Linked DNA regions of Caenorhabditis elegans. The protein of the gene in region 2 purifies or fractionates together with the protein of the main gene of each other region. This does not show direct contact. Each region holds a gene or a part of one and is shown on either strand. Other genes may lie near its edges.

What was found.
Region 1: the proteins of fcp-1 (region 2) and gmap-2 fractionate together in Caenorhabditis elegans (co-fractionation; one large-scale study listed by BioGRID). This does not show direct contact.
Region 3: the proteins of fcp-1 (region 2) and rpb-5 fractionate together in Caenorhabditis elegans (co-fractionation; one large-scale study listed by BioGRID). This does not show direct contact.
Region 4: the proteins of fcp-1 (region 2) and mrpl-55 fractionate together in Caenorhabditis elegans (co-fractionation; one large-scale study listed by BioGRID). This does not show direct contact.

The regions. Positions count from the first base shown.
Region 1 is NC_003284.9:12,940,902-12,944,967, forward strand, and holds gmap-2 (GM2 Activator Protein family member), read right to left. Parts: upstream 2,366-4,066; 5' UTR 2,359-2,365; coding exon 2,253-2,358; intron 2,203-2,252; coding exon 2,105-2,202; intron 2,002-2,104; coding exon 1,862-2,001; intron 1,639-1,861; exon of another isoform or gene 1,557-1,638; intron 1,407-1,556; coding exon 1,307-1,406; intron 1,253-1,306; coding exon 1,136-1,252; intron 1,090-1,135; coding exon 1,013-1,089; intron 838-1,012; coding exon 651-837; 3' UTR 541-650; downstream 1-540.
Region 2 is NC_003279.8:9,003,959-9,010,578, forward strand, and holds fcp-1 (RNA polymerase II subunit A C-terminal domain phosphatase), read right to left. Parts: upstream 4,751-6,620; coding exon 4,553-4,750; intron 4,508-4,552; coding exon 4,331-4,507; intron 3,980-4,330; coding exon 3,851-3,979; intron 3,380-3,850; coding exon 3,137-3,379; intron 2,722-3,136; coding exon 2,434-2,721; intron 2,345-2,433; coding exon 2,157-2,344; intron 2,113-2,156; coding exon 1,641-2,112; intron 1,597-1,640; coding exon 1,468-1,596; intron 1,200-1,467; coding exon 1,044-1,199; 3' UTR 555-1,043; downstream 1-554. Other genes in the region: rbpl-1 (E3 ubiquitin-protein ligase RBBP6), read right to left, coding at 5,302-5,382, 5,428-5,493, 5,563-5,988, 6,109-6,620. UniProt on the Caenorhabditis elegans protein: During the late stages of oogenesis, dephosphorylates 'Ser-5' of the heptad repeats YSPTSPS in the C-terminal domain of the largest RNA polymerase II subunit ama-1.
Region 3 is NC_003279.8:6,848,814-6,851,775, reverse strand, and holds rpb-5 (DNA-directed RNA polymerases I, II, and III subunit RPABC1), read right to left. Parts: upstream 1,368-2,962; 5' UTR 1,353-1,367; coding exon 1,293-1,352; intron 1,248-1,292; coding exon 817-1,247; intron 772-816; coding exon 627-771; 3' UTR 523-626; downstream 1-522. Other genes in the region: sacy-1 (RNA helicase), read right to left, coding at 22-181, 228-395; syp-4 (Synaptonemal complex protein 4), read right to left, coding at 1,996-2,267, 2,314-2,457, 2,504-2,962. UniProt on the Caenorhabditis elegans protein: DNA-dependent RNA polymerase catalyzes the transcription of DNA into RNA using the four ribonucleoside triphosphates as substrates.
Region 4 is NC_003282.8:442,165-445,289, forward strand, and holds mrpl-55 (39S ribosomal protein L55, mitochondrial), read left to right. Parts: upstream 1-1,820; coding exon 1,821-1,893; intron 1,894-2,108; coding exon 2,109-2,236; intron 2,237-2,310; coding exon 2,311-2,406; intron 2,407-2,451; coding exon 2,452-2,532; 3' UTR 2,533-2,622; downstream 2,623-3,125.

The DNA.
Region 1 (4,066 bases), on a different chromosome or scaffold from region 2:
CCTCAATGTGAAATGATTGTCGGATGGCGTTTCGAGGTCATGAAGGTTATGAGATTCTGAAAAGATGAAGAGATTAAAAGAAAAGGAAAGGGGAAAAAAGTAAAAAAAAAGGAAAATAATGAATCAAAAGCCTTATGTCCTTCAACTAGTAGTGAGAACAAATGCAATAAAGTTTTACAGATGTGTTACATAAATATCACTTTATGATCTCTAACCAACAACATATATAGTTCCAGTTTTCCTTACTATTAGTAACTTTGCAAGATTTTTCTGTAGAATTCGTGTACTGTTGTATACACAAGAATAAAAATTCTAGAAGTAAAGGGTATACAGAATACTTTGAACAAAATCCCAGAAACATTTTGAGGCTAGCAAAATATTGAGGTTGTATTGAATAAAATGCATATTGAAGAAATGTAAAAAAACATACTCAAAAGGATACCAGACAAAACTGTTGTTTTTTACACAACGAGTCTTTGAGCACAGTATCACCATAAAGATTGACTGTTATTTATTAAATGTCAAGATCAATTTGCTTATCTAATTCATAATTTTTATTGTGTTTATTTCATAATTCACAAAAAATGAACCCGCATAAACGAAATGAATAAACATGAAGTTATCATCGTTGTTCATCCAAATATATTTTCTTATTTCTTCTTGGCTTGAATGTCGCTCAAGCTAATGGTTCCGTAAAGTTTGTGACATCCAACGAAAACTGACTGCTTTTTGATAATTTGATTGAATGGCAGATTCCAATAAGTTTGAGAGTCAACTGGCTCATCAGCGCCAAGTTTGCGAAGTTCACGGATGCGAGATTCTAGTTTTCGTTGAGAGCTGAAATTATTTCATTTTTCTATTTGTTTAAAAATTTTCTACTCGTGAAAAATAGTGTTATTTTTCATATAGCTGTAATGTATGTGACATATATGTCTCGAATATAGTGAATGGTTGTTAGATGGTATATGAAACTGTAAATCTGGCTAAAACCTATTTAATTTTCAGAACTTACACTAGAAGAGGTTTAATATCCTTGTCGAACAAATAAACGGTCACAAATAGACTAAGCTTTGGTGGACCATTTCCTTCCTGAAACACACTTTTTCTTTCAATAATTATTTTCATTTTGTCAAACCTGAGTAGTAGCAGCTAAAATGTGATCTAACGCGTCTTCTGAAATTCCCTGCCATTCCAACAATGCAGCTAATTTCGGAAGGCAGAAACGGAGTTCAACATTATCATATTCTCCTTTCTAAAAATAGTGTTATTGACTGCATCGTAAATTTTTTTTAACGATGTTGCTCACTTTTAATGGCTCACATCCTGCTGGTTTGCCGTTCACAACAAGTTGAGCTCCGAGAATTTTCGTGAGAGAGTCCAAAGAATCACATGGCCGGCAGTAGAGACTGAAACAGCAGTGTTTACGTCATTTTTTGGAAACAACAAAACAACAAATTTTCAAGTTCGAAAATTTAAATTTCGTAATCATCGAAATACAACTAAATCTTGTTGTTTGAAGTTATAACATAACGACAAATTATGATAGCGTAGTACGTGGAGAGATGGCCGAGCGGTCTAAGGCGCTGGTTTAAGGCACCAGTCCCTTCGGGGGCGTGGGTTCGAATCCCACTCTCTTCAGTTCTTTTTTTTTAATTTATTTTGCAGGTTAAACACTTATGTATGAAATTGTTATAGTTATACTTTTTGTTTTAAGAGTGACCTCTAACTTAAAACTTTTAGGTACTTCACAGCTGTTCATCTATCATTAACTGCTCAAAAGGCTTTTTTTTCATTTCCTAATGTTTTTTCTAGCTCTAGAATCTTGATGATTTCCCTAATATTTCTGTCAATAACTCATTACCATGATCCAACACCTCCACAACCAGTGTCCGGATTGGCATCCCTGCACACTTCCGGTGGTCTTTGAGTGTCACCAGTGGTCGACACGGACAAGTAGATCAACAACTCGTCGCTCACATCCTCATGAATTTTCACTTTTCCCTAAAGAAAATGAATTATTATTATTATTGTAATAACGTCAATCATCAAGCATTGTTATTGTTTTTCAAAAATCAAAATAAAACACTCTTGGGGGCTAACTCACACTAATTGCATAGCACCCTTTCTGTTCAGTTGACTTGAGTAGCGCTCCACTATCCGAGTGGCCACCCTGGAACTCGATTTTGCGGTTCCAGTGAGAACCTGTAACACGTAAAGTATTAAAAAAGTGACAACGATAGTTTAATAATTACTTTTTCTCCATGCACAACTTTGATGTCTATGAAGGTTTAAGTTCAGATACTGAGTCGATGCAAATCCAAACAAAATTGCCAGTAATATCAGGCAGTTTGTAATCATGACAAATCTGTAAGATACCGTTTATGTAAAAATTTACAGAAAGTTACAAGAACAGTATAGAAAAAGTCACAGAAGTCACTGAATTCAAATAGTTCCATCATCGAAACATCTTCATATCTAATATTTGAATCAATCTTAGTTTAGCATTTAATGCAAATGCGGCAAGAAAGTAGCTGTGAAAAAGAAAAATCGTCAAATGGGGCAAAACGATACGAATGGAAGGAACCTGTTACGTAAGCTTAGAGATCTGTCTAAGCATGAAAAAAGAGAATCGGGTATGATATGCATTGTTGAAGGACCTAGACTTTCAATCAAAACGGGACTATGGCAGAGACCACAAGGAAAAATAAACTGAAATAAGGAAGCGAAATGTTCTACGATGACTGACCAGGAGAACATTGAAGATTCCAATGGTCTTTGATTTAGTGTTCACCTCGTCGTCGTCCGCCCTAATTTTTCAACTTGTCATAAAATTTGATTCCTCTGGAATTTCACAAAAGAAAACTAGTTACGAGAACAAGAACTAATGTGGAACTTTTAATGGTGTGTACTAGGTGTGTTTGAGAAGGGAAATATTTGTGACGCTTTACAAAATCAGTGTTCATGTGACTATCTTTTCAAATCGACTTCAAAATGTTGTTTGTAAGAATGGAGACCTAAATGAATGATGGAGTTTGTGGGCAAAAAATCTCAAAAACTACAGAAACAATGTCAGAAATAACGCAACAGTTATTTGTAATTTTATAATACTTCGGTTCTCAACTATAGAATATTTGGGAAACTTAGTGGAAAAATAATACCGCCGGCATATAGAATAACTCTTAAACTACTTTGGACGAATTAATGTTTTAACAGTGGTCGCAAGAGCATTCGAGCTAATGAAGTTTGGCAAACAAAGATTTTTTTGTGGACTACAAATTATGATAGGCATAATACCATTAAGCCCAATAGTGGCTGGGTGAACCTAGGGGGTGAGGCCGGACTTGAACTTATGACCTCCAGATTTCTAGCGGTCACCACTACCGACTGAGCTATCCGCCCCCCGAAATACAATTTTGTAAAGCAAAATTAAAAAATATATCTTTTCATTTTTTCACGTATCAATCATGTTTGCGCAATTTAAAAAATGAACTTTAATGAAAAAAAATCATAAACTTATATAATCTTGCAAAAACCCCTTGATAAGAAAAATGAGTCATTGAACGATTAAAACATAAATAAAAATTTCCACTAGCTTTAACCAAAAGTCCACACTTTTTCATCTTGCGAATACACAGTTTTCACACCCGTCTTTATAATCATTTTATACACTTTCTGTAATGCTGGCAATTCGCTTGAGTGCACTTGAATAGCAAAGGTTCACGCTTGGACAGAAAAGTGTGACGAAAGATATTGTGGAAGGGCAAATGAATGGTGGGCCGACACGCAGGGCAAAAAACGAATAATACTAAGAAATTGTGGAAGACGATAAAGACTGCGAATTGGTCGGAAACGAGAATTTGCCAAGAATCCCCTCATCTCCTTTCACCAACTAACCGCGGATAATAGATAATAGGTGTGAATCATTATTATTCGATCAGGAAACGATGCGCTATGCAAAGTGTTAGCTGGTCTGCTTGCGTTACATTCAGGTATACAATTTTTGCAGGAAATCACGCACATACACATCTGAATGTCACTTTATGTACAGTGTTTTAGACAAAACCAG
Region 2 (6,620 bases):
TCAAACTGAAAAGATTCTTGACAATGAGTAAATCGATAAAAACCGCTGAAAATACATACAAAAAAGGCGCTTAGTGCGCGTGTGTGCAAAAATGCTCTATAGACAAAAAATGCGAGAAAATATTTCTTTTCAAAAGAGAAAAGTAAATACTTTTTTCATAAACTTTCACTGCAATGGTAAATAAACTAGTCACTAAAAGGAAATGAAATAAGTTTTTTCAATAGCTAATCACTCTACCAATTTTTTTCAAAACTTTTTGCGAATATATAGCTTTTAATAACTTTTAATAATAAGGAAATAGTAAAAGATCGATAAAAATCCAGTTCGGCAAAACGTGTTGTTGAAACGATTGATTGTGTAATATAAGACCACATTGAATTGTATACAAATTGTAAATTATTGATTTTTGTGGAAATGTAAACATTGTACTACATTTGTTACATGAAACTTTTTTTGGTCTCGCGTAACAAATACTATACATTAATCCTATAATTCGAAAAAAATAAATCATACTTCCGAATCAAACGGCATTGCGAAAGCGTCAGCAAGAAAAATAGAAATGAATCTCATTCATTTTCAGAAAAAAATAATAACGATCAACGTGAAACGAGAGAAGAAATGAGACAATGACGCGATTTAGAAAAAAAAATTAATTCGATAAAATGAAAATAGAGGTATTTAAGTAAGCAATCGAAAGATGAATAACTCCATAGTGACAGACTTTTCTTGAATTTACAATCAAAAGGCAAAAGATAAGTGAATAAAAAGCAATCTATATTCCAAACCGTGAACGTTTATATATGACAAAAATGCAGGCTTCTAGTGAAGTTTTGATTGATTTGATGAAAATCACTCTGATCAAGCAGCCGACATTAATTGTCAGATTATTCCCATTTAAATGGAGGTAAATAGTACAGAAAACATTGAGTATCGAATCAAATGGGGAACGGGGGTGATAATTATGAGATGTAAAAGATGGGAAACAACTGAAAGAATAATAGGAAATGAAAACAATAATAGCACATGATGATTTCACAGAAAACTCATTGATCTTTTTCATCTACTGCATCGCTAATCTGACGTTCGATCAATGCAGCCATATCCTCGAACTCATCGTCATCATCAGATTCCGGTACTTCCTCATCTTCATTGTCTTCGTCATCTTCTTCTTCATCTATATTAGCTGGTGCGTGGCCTTTCTGTAAAAGTCTTTTTTTTTCAAAACACTTTTGATCTCCCAAGCAGGAATAATGATTCACGTGTTTCTTTGAATTTTTGTTTAATATCGATAAAATGTCGTATTTTTCGATAAATTCTAGACACTGGAACGATTTGGATTGATATTTTTAAGCTCAAGAAGCCAAAATTTAACTTTTTTCAAAAAATTCACTACTATTAATTTTAGCCACTATAAATTCAAAACTTTCCGTTTTATTTTCAATTTTTTATACTTGCCGCCCTTTTTACCTCATCATCAACATCAAATACTGCATCATCCTCGTTTTCTGGAACAATTCGACCTTTTTTGCGTGAATCTGACAAAAGTGCTTTGTACGACATAGGGGTATCGTCATCCTCATTATCAGAATCTGATTCCTGAAATAAATATTATTGGAATAAATTATTTTCAAGTTTCTTACCTCTTCCTCGTCCTCCATTTCAGGACAATGCTTTCTTTTCTGTCCCCTTGATGTAGAATCTGTCTCGTTTTCCAAAGCATCTCCTGATTGATTCTCAACAGATCCATTCTGCTCAACATCATCCATTTCTTCTTCATTTTTCTCTTGTTTCTCTTCTAAATTTTCATCTCCCTTATCTTCTCCAACATCATTCCCATCATCATCCTCATCCTCATTGTCTCCATCGTCTTCATCATCCGATAGAGCTTCATCTACTTCATTATTCATATCAGCTAACGCGGCTTTCCCAATTGTGTCCATATTTGCCAAATCATTGACATACTTTGATCCAAGTGGACGTCCAACTGGAGGAGTACTTTCTTTTGTTAGTTGAAACAGATTTTCATCTGCTTTAAGCCACTTTTCGACACAAGCATATACCCATTGAACTGTGACCACAAACTTATTGAGACGATTGGCTTGATAAACTTTTCTGAAAATAAAAGAATTTTAAAATGCTAAAATGATAAAACTAACTGTGTTCCATATCTTGCTCCAACAACATGAGTAACATCATCAGTCACATCTGGTACAATAACTGCTCCAAATTGAGTACACAAACGATAAATATCAGTTCTTTCAAGCTTTTCACCCATTGGTACGATTCCCGAAAAAACAATGACACATCCATCAAGAACTTTGTGTCGTTCCTCTTTGATCACTTCCTGAAAATCAACTTCTAGAAGTCCAAAAGACTTAAATATTCAACTTAGAATAATAATTCAATAACTAAATATTTAAAATGAAAATTTACCTTTACATCAAGCAACACTTCCTCGGATCCTCTTAAATCGTGCTTTTCATAATATTTATCATGAATATTCGTTAAAACTCGCTCAATTTCTTCAAGAACCTTATCCTCATGAGCATCATCTTCAATTTGAACTGGCATTTGTTCTTTTGAGTTTTTTGGAGCATTAATGTCGCCGACTTCTTTGAAGAATCGATAAGGTTTGATTTGAATAAGTGCTTCAGAATACATCCAGACATCTGATCGATCATCAATAATCACTACAAGATTGTCGCCACATGGGAATAGAGCCTGAATAAAAATTGTTGTGTTTAACACTTATTCTATGATGTTAAAAAAAAACCAAATTTCATGGTAACACTTTTTAAAAATTTGAAATTTTCATTAACAGTCGAAAAATTGATGAAAACTCATTTTTCATTCATCACAATTCTGATCGATTAATATTTTCTACGAGTTTCATGTTTTCAGGGCTGAAGATTTCTTGTTTTTCGCTTTAAAAAAAATGGTGTTTTTTTTTGACAAAAAATGTACTTTCCGTTTTTTTATATTAAAGAGCAAAAAAACGAAGAATTTGTAAAAAACTTTTAAATGACTTTAAAATTATAGTTTTTAGTTTTTCGCTTTTTTCGTGATTTTTGCGAATTTTGGGCAAACTCCATTGGAGTTTGAAATTATTTTTATTTTTAATTTTTAAAAATTATACCTTCAAATTATTGGTCTTGTGTTGAGCCGAGAATAGTTCATCTCGAGACAAAATGCGTTGTTCAAAGAGTCGAGCATCTGGATCAAGAATCTGAGCAATACGATGAGCATATTGACGTTGTCCATAGGTAACAATGTGCATTTCATACATATTTGACATTTTATTCAAGAATTCTGTTGTATGTGGTCGGAGTTTAGTGGTATAAACACGAGAGTGAAGGTTATATTTGGTGATGTCTTTGTGCTGAAATTTATAGAAAATATATGAGTATTCCTATCAAGAGTGACAATTTTTCGATAATTTTAGAAAATCAAAAAACACAATTTTTTTGTACCAAAATTAAATTAGAAAAAAGGTTTCTCGGAAAATAATTTAAAGTTTTTGTCGATTTTTCTTATTACGATAAGAAAATTATGCTTTTCTAACTTTATCATTTACATAGAAGCTCGATGAGAAATTTTTTTTGAAATCTTTATTAATTTTCTGAAAAGTGTTTTTTTTTTCGAAAAATGGCTTTACATTTTGGCCATTTTTTTTCTAGAAGAAAATTATATGGTTGTTTGAAATTATTTGTTTTCATCGACACGACCAAAATTCGTTAAATTTGTGTTTTAATTTTTTGCTAATTTTCGGAACATTTTTTTTCAATTTTTCAGTTTTCTCTGAGAAAAACTGAAAAAAAACTTTTTTTTCGTCAAAACTATTGATTCTTACATTTTCAGTATCCACAGTCATTGGTTTGTCGGAAGTGTGAATAATTGTCTGATCCAAATCAACAAGCAATACGAGTTTTCTATTGGTGATCAGATTGTTTTCATCGGCTGATCCAATCTCTTTTGCTAGCTGAAAAAAAAGTTTTTTATCGAAATATTATTTGCCTAGTAGGCGAATTTTTGAGCCAAAAATGCGGTTCACGGTCTCAACACGACAATTTTTGATAAATGCAAAAATATGTTCGTCTTTAAAAAGAACTGTAATATTATGGGATTTTCATGAAGTTTTCTATTTTTCTCAAAATCGTATACTTTACTTAAAAATAGTTTAAACTTGCTTTATTTTAAAGTTTTAATTAACTTTCGAAAAACGATGAAAATTCTGCATTAGCTATTTAAAGGCGCACAACGTTTTGCGAGACCGGTTACCGTATTTTTATTGAAAAAATCGCCGCATCCGGGTAATAAAAATGATGCTAACCGTATCCGACACAATAAGTTCTGGAACATGATGAATCATAGATACATTAGCCGTTGATTGTTCCTTTCTCTGACCGGCTCGTCCTCCCTTTTCACGTAGATCTTTACCACATGTTGCACACATATCTTTGATAACAATTGCATGAGTACATTCGGATACTGTAGCAATCACTTGACCCTGAAAATGAAAACAGTTTCAATTGAATAAATAATTTCAATTTACCTTATTCAATACGATTCCTGGTTTAAGACCTTTTCCAAAAGTAACTACACCCTCACATGGTGTCTTTATCTTTCCCGCCACTTTTCCGTTGATTTTGAATTCTATCAGAACGTGATCTTTCAATACAAAACTTCCTTCACTGGCCTTTTTCAGGCCAGCTGTGCACTCGGCATCGTTTCCTTCAAATTTAATATCCATCTGGAAAAGAATATTTATATCTTTTCAATTAAGATATCAAATTCGACTGTTATTGAATTATTAAATGTTATTTAAAAGTAAAATTTTTCAACAATTTTGTGTTCATCATCTAAAATACATATGTACGCATTCTCTCCAAAACTTTTTTTTCAATTTTCGATTTTATTACCAAAAGGTTAATTTCGGCGCTTTTTTTGAAATCGAATCTGTAAAATTAGCCATTCTGATATTATTTGCGGCAAATTCAGGACCGAGAAATTTTGGGATAAAAATAAGAAAAAAGGTAAAAATAGAGTAAAAATAAAACGGAATTTTTATTCCAACAGGAACAAGAAAAGTGAAAAAAAAACAGAATAATTCCACAGATGGGACGAAAAATGAATAAAAATGGAAGCGTTTTTAGAAAAAAAAAATAATGGTGAAAAAAGAGAATCAAAGTCACAGTAGATGTGGTTCCCTCTAAGAAGAACTAGAAAAATAGGGGGGAATATGAGAAAAACGAATAATAGGATGGAACATAATTAATAACTCAAATATAGATACAAAAATGATTACAAAAGATCAAATTTAATCTTGGTACTCTTGTGTTTGACATCTACACTCTCCTTTGGAACTTTTCGAGACGAAGATTTCTGAAATATCTAAGATTAAAATTCTTCAAAAACAACAAAAATTACCTTCTCCTTTTCCCCAATGCTCTCCACGTCAGTTTCGTCCTTCTTCCGGCGATCCCGCTTCGACCGCTAAAATTTTTAAATTATATATTTTTTGATTAATTGAATTTTAGTGAAATATTTGTGAATAAAACGTACTTCTTCATCTTCTTGTTCCTTGGTTGATGATGAGGACGAGTATTGACGAACTCTGATGTTTGTCGTTGGTTTGCTCGAAGCAACAGTAAACGAGACAGGTTTTCGTTCAAGTGATGGAGCAGTAGTAGTTCTAGAGCTTGAAGAAGTGGATGAGTCAGCTTTCTGCATACGCTCATGAACCGATTTTCGTGGTTTCTCAGACTCTTTCTCAACGATTTTCCGCTTCTCTTTGCGATCCTTCTCGTGTTCCTTTTCCACTTCCTTCTCGCGTTGTTTCTCTTTTTCATTATCCCGATCACTCTCCTTTCTTTTACTCTTCTCCTTTTCATAGTCATCCTTCCTGCGTTCCCTGTCCCGTTCATAATCTTTCCGATCGTCACGCTTCTTGTCTTCACGCTTCACCTTTGTCTTGGGGGCCTGCAATTTCTATAAAAATTTGTTCATTTTTCCTAAACCCGGAAGATGATTTCTGATTGCTAAATTTTTCCTCAAAACAATCAACAATTAAAACAACTAATCTAAAAATAAGAATAAACCAAAACTTACATCACTGTCATATGCCTCGGTCTCTCGATCTCGCTTTCTCTCTTTCTTTCTATCTTGCTCATCAATTTTTTGAGAATCTCTTTCATGCCGACGTTCCTTACGATCATCCTCATCATCATGTCTACGGTCTTTCCTGTCTCTCCGATCGGATTCCTTAGGAAGCTCCTCTTTTCTATCCTCGAAGATGTCCTCTTCATCCTCATTCCATTTTCCTTTCTTCTTTTCTTTTTTGTCAGCAAAATTTTTGTCCAACTCCACTTTGTCCTCATCATCTAGAGATCTTGGCTCTTTTCTATTAGAATCCTCATCTTTATCATCCTGATACTTTCTTTCCTTCTTTTTTTCTTTCTTTTCGGTATCAAGATCATCCTCATCCTCATCTCTCTTCTCCTTCTTTGACTTTTTCTCTTTTTTGTGCTTCTTGTGCTTCTTCCGTTTTCGTTCCTCATCCTCATCACCGTCTTCCTCTTTCCGATGATGTTTCTTGTTCTTTTTACTTTTTTTGTGTTTCT
Region 3 (2,962 bases), 2.2 Mb from region 2:
AACTTATTTTAAATAAATAACCTCCTTGTGTCTCCATAATCTCAGCATGTTTCTCCAAAAGTGTTTTTCTCGCTTCTTCACTTTGCTTATCCTCTTCCTTTTTCTTTCGTTTTCTTTCAATTTCTTCTTTTTGATTCATTGTCGGAGCCAGTACTTGCTTCAGTAGGGCTCGACGATGTACCTAAAGTTTAATTTTTAATTCTTAAAATACTAATCTACACAAATACTTTTTCTCGTTTTCTCTGTAATGCAGTCAGAAACATATCATCCACGTCTTGATCATCATCTCCAGAAGATAAATTCATGCCGTCTCTGCGTTCTTTCATTTCTTCCTCTTGAATTTTTCGCCGGCGGTCCTCATATTTTCGTCGCGCCGCTTCCACATCTGTGCTCATTTCGGAATACTAAACGAATTTTTCTGTTCTACTTTTTAAGATACTTAAAAAAATTGAACTTGTGTATATATTTAAGTCGCATTGGATTCTACCGATTTTCCAATAAGATTTAATTGAAATACAAGAGAAATAGGTTTAATAACGGGAAAAACAAAAAATAAAATAACAAAGGTACCCAAAATCAGAAAATTTTTGGGCCAAGATCAACGTTCAAGGGGGTTTAGAAAAGATTTAGACCACAAGACGATAAGTGATATATCTTCCAGCAGTTTCCGATGGCCGAATGATTTTGACAACTTGTCCACGGCGGAGACCAAAATAACGAGCGACCGGATCACATTGTTGGATACGTGGCAACTGAGAATCCTTAAGTTTGCTGAAAATATCATATTTATAATCATGTTTTAATATGAAGACTTACTATCTAGCAAGTAGTTCTGCTTTCTCTTCGGCTGTCATGACGACATGTTCTGGTACCAACTCATGTTCTGTGATGTTTACCATGAGCTCAGCCTCTAAAAAGTGCTCCAACATGTACTTTGGGGCCATGTCGCCAATGGATTGTTTGGCGCTTGGAGTCATTCCGGTTTGTACGACAATGATAGCACGGGAGATATTCTGTTCTTGCATTTGCTGGCAGATAGCTTTAATAGTTTTGATTCCAATTTTGGCGTCCTCTGGGAAGAAAACAAACATTTGATCGGCTGGATCGTCGTTGTGAGCCACGAGAATTGTCAGATCTGAGCGAGCCGGCTTTTTTTCAGAGGGACGATCTCCGTACTGCACTTTGAATGTTTCCAATGGTTGATCTAATTCATCTTGAGCTACGAGATAACCACGATCGTGAACCATCTAAATATGAACATATTATCATGGCAAATACCAAATTTTGTTTACCTGAAGAACTGTTTTACGGATTCTCCACAATCTATAGGTCTCAAGCTCGTCGTCAGCCATTATTACTGTTAGTCTCTGCAATAAACTACTTTTAAAAAGTTTTCCGCCGACATTAAAGGTTGAAAAATAAAGAACAATTCGTCTTAGTCTCATCACAATTTTAAGTGTAACTTTGAACATATAACAACCTCTTTTAATTAATAATAAACATTGAGGTTAACAGGAAAAACATAAACTATGGTATACCAACAATTTAAATTGAATAATCAGAAGGGAGATTGCTGCAATGTCTCATATTCAAATTGGTGGGAAAGAATTGAAGGAAAAAAACATGAAAATCACTAAATTTGACAGGACAATTTTCGTTTTTCGAATAAAATTCCAATGGCTAAACAAAGCTCGTTAGCGTTATACCGGAGCATCGTTCATTGCGTCGAATGCTGCTGATTTTACGAGCAAAAATTTTGCGAACATAAGCGAACTTGAGTTTGTTTCAGAATAAATATTATTTAAATAGCTATACATTTAAAGCATTAAAGTGAAAAAGAATAAAACGCAATGAGATGATCAATACTTTATATTATGTATATTTTTGCTGTTCAAAAAGAAAAAAAAGAGGCAATTTCTTGGTCCAATAAAATCTAAAATTTCTGACATTAAACGATACAAATGATACAAGAGCTGAATAATACATGATAATTTTCTAAAAGTTAAAGAACGAGGTGCTGTTTCCGCCCGCTCCAGAAGTTGCTCCGCCTTCACCGTCACCGTCAAAGTTAAAGTTGAACGATCCATCTCCACCTCCACCAGCTGCGTTACCATTTGATGCAAATCCGAACGGATCGGATTGAGTGTTTCCCGAACCCTTTCCTTCATCCTCTCCGTCATAGTTAAGGAAATCCAGATCTCCAGTAGAACCACCATTGTTCGAACCATCATCTCCTGCTCCAATTCCGTCAAAATTAAAGTCGAAGTCTATAAAAATGGAGTTTTTTTTAATTTCACGTGTTTCATAACTTACTGCCTTCACCGCCACCTTCTCCCGCTGATGTACCCTTGCTATTCCCAAAAAAGTTAAAAGAGAAGTTATTGCTTTTGTTGGAACCGTTTTCGCTCATCACTTCTTCTTCGTCTTCTACATCTAGTTGTGCTCCCACTTGTTGATCTGCGAAATGAATAACTCAATGTTTATTGCCAAGTAAAACACTTACCATCAACAAACTGAACATCATTGTCTGCCTGCTTCTCAACGATCTCTGGTTCTTGTTCCTGGGAGAGTGCAGCCTGCTCCGTGGCTAGAATGTCCTTGAATACAGATGGTTGCTCAATTTCTTCTTGCTCACCGACTTCCATGGGACTTTCCTCGGGTACTTCCTGATCTACTTCCATTACATCCATCGATTGATCGGCATGATTTTCATGATTGCTAAGTTCTTCTTCTTCTTCTTCGGGCTCATCTAGGATTGATTCCGGTTGGGGGCTTGGAACTGCTGAAGTGTCTAACTCTTCTGCATCCCGTTGAACGACGCTGTCTTGACGAGTAGGCTGAATGGTAATTTGTGGTACCACCTCCCTTATTTCAGTGACATTTGGTGGTTCAATATGAACGCTTTCTTCAGCTGAATGTTCGATTACAGGTTCTTCGCCAACTTCCATCGGATGCTGTGTCG
Region 4 (3,125 bases), on a different chromosome or scaffold from region 2:
AAATTACTTTATGAGACTAAAAATTGTCTGAAAACGCTGAATTTCATACTGACCCTTCTGTAAAACTTCTCAAAAAAAGTTATGGTCAAAAAAAAGTTAAAAAGTTATAATTTACAAAATCTCTTCGTCCATCGACTTTAAAATACTCAAGTCGAGTTGAAAACGCAAGATTTGAATTAACTGGTATAGCCAGTTGGCCAAATTTACAGTGCACGACAAATTCGGCAAGTTCGGTAAATTTGCCGAGCTTAACAAACTCCTAAAATGTTATATTTTTCAAAGTCTTTAGAGCACCAAAACTACTGAATTCTTAACACACATCTGGTTTCCAAACAAGTTCCGTGTAGTGTGTCTTCTTCAACATCAAAACAGCTCAATTTTGTGCCATTTTACAAAATTTTTGAGGACAAAATCAATAGTTTCGGCTAAAATTGTATTGTCAATTTTTGATGTTTGCGGTAAATTTGGTAAATTTGCCCCACACCCCTGATCCCCACACACTTATTTAACATTTGTGAATAATAGGCGGATCATAGTTGGCCACTTTTTTCAATTTTCCAAAAAAATCGAAAACTTTATTAAAGGTCAAAATTCCCCGATAATTTAGTTACTGTAGCTTCAAAATCCACAAACACCGTGTGCAATAAATACACGTAAATTCACGGAAACTTGCGGGCTTTTAATCAAATGGTAAGCGGAAACTCAACTTTCAATACGGCGTCCTGCGCGTGAAATGCGCTAAATTGGAAGAGGAGACCCAAAAAAACAAAACCTATTCCAACTTTTTATACTGTAGTTTGTCTTCAGTAAGCAGCATCTTGAAAACTATGGAAGATATGAAAAACTTTTCAACTAGAAAACTAAAGTTGATAATGTAGCCAACATTTCTCAGTTAAGAACTTTTTCGTAAGTGAAGCCATTGAGTAGTTACAACAGTGGTAATGTATGCGCAATGGGATTTTATCAAAAACGTAGTACTTGTGTTTTTAAGTGCGTATATCTTTTTAAATAATAAAAGAATTAAAAAAAGTAAAATCAAGAATTGTAGTGTTTTGTATGCTGAGCATTTCTTCGGCTAAAAGTTTTTTGATATCTATGCTCACGAGAGAGCTATGCTCTTTTGGAAAACGTACAAGTTAAATTCCTTGATATAACCTCGCTAGCTGTTATAGATCATAACTCAGTAACCAGTGACGGAATCAAAAAACGCTAAACTAATGAAATGTTCAAAATTGTTCAAATATTATTTTCATAATTGACTGCTTCCTGTTTTATTTCTTATTCGCAAAGTTACGCACGTTTAAATAATATTTATCGTGATTTCTGGTATATTGAACTACAAAAATTAAAATTGTTATTGAAAATCTTATTGAACAATCCATTTTTCATTCAATTTTAATATTTTTTTCAAACGTAAATTAGCAAGAATTTGAAGCTTTGTTCAAAATCTTCCGTTTTTCGCCGCTTTTCACGTTTTGAGCGAAAGAGCGTGCGCAAGTGAGAGGTGAAAGATGACGAGAGCGACTTGCTTGCGCGTTTCACCCGCAGGAGGCCGTGTATAAACTTTATATATACTATAAAGTTTGTTTACCGTTTCGAATCAGTTCCTTTATCTTTTTCAATAATTTCTCGCATTTTTCTCATTTCTTATTTTAATTTTATTTGCATTTGCCGCGTAAGTGACACGAAAAGTGAGCGCCGCAAACGCGCTCCGCTGAGAATTTGTTTGTGCACTCCTCTCGAATAAGTCAAAAATACACGTCTTTATTAAAACTTATTGATTTTTCAGTGTATTCCTGTGATTTTTCTTGAATTTCTAAATGTTTTTGCAGATGAACACTCAAATTTCCATGCGAAACTTGCTAACAAGCTGCTCAAAAGCCATCACAGCAGGTTAGTAAAGGAAAAAGGTCGAAAAATATCATTTGAAGGTTATTTTCAAAAAAAAAACGTGGCAGAACATTTTTCGTACAACATTTTTCATGTGAAAATTGCAATTACTATTATTTCCATTCATTTCTCCTCAAAATCAGACTTTTTATAAACCATTTCCCCCTTCCTCTCCCTAAATCAAAATCACTATTCCCGCGTGAATTTCACATTTTCAGAGAGAAATAATGCGTGGAGAGCAAGTTTGGGAAAAATCAGCCGTCGAGACTACTTGCATCGGTACCAAGTTAAATTTATCCGTCCGGATGGTTCGACAATCATGGTTCCCGCCGCTGAACCGAGACAGGTTGCTTTTTGAAAAATACATATTTAATTGCAGTTTTTATATTTAATCAGTTTTTTAATTGTACATATTTTCAGACATTCCAATCTGCCGTCGACCTCAAACAGTTGAGCGAGGATGAACGACGACAACGGCTGGCTGCTCGTAAACCAAAAGCCAAGATCACAAAAACAGTAATTATATAATTAACGATTTCAAATTAAAAATGGTTTTTTCAGGAAGTTATCGATGACACCTTCGATGAGTCGGAGTATATGAAGTTTTGGTCGGCACCCGGGCAGAAATCCACGAAAAAATAAGAAAAATCTCGTTATTAGCATGTAGTATTTCTTTTTTTTTGTTAGATTTTTTGTTTTCGTTATATTTACTATGAATATCGACTTTATTCTCGATCTGATTAATATTGATTTGTGCGTTTAGTCGCAATTTTATATCAATTATCTCTATTTCACTAGGGAACCCCGTAACAGCTTGGTGGATAGGAAACCAAGAAGTTTGTGGAGGAAAATCGAGTTTCCGGTCGAAATTAGCTTGAAAATACTAATATGCTAAAAACCTCTAAAAACCTCATTTTTCAGCGATAAACGCCGAATTTTCAGCCATTTTCCGAGAAAAACGCGAATTTTCGGGTAAAAAACCCGATCTCAGAACGAATTTGACTTCAAAAATGGAAAAATGCGATAAGAAGCGTGAAGTTTCACTGAAAACTCTTAATTTCAACGTTTTTTACTCAAAAAATCGTATTTCTGGCTCAAAAACAGTGAAATTTATCATTTTTTTTCTGTGAAAAAATCGATTGGGGGGACCAATAAAAGGTACATTTTTGTGACCCACTGACCGAAAATGTACTTTAATCAAAGAATAAGCGCGTAGTAAAGGACCATAATATTTA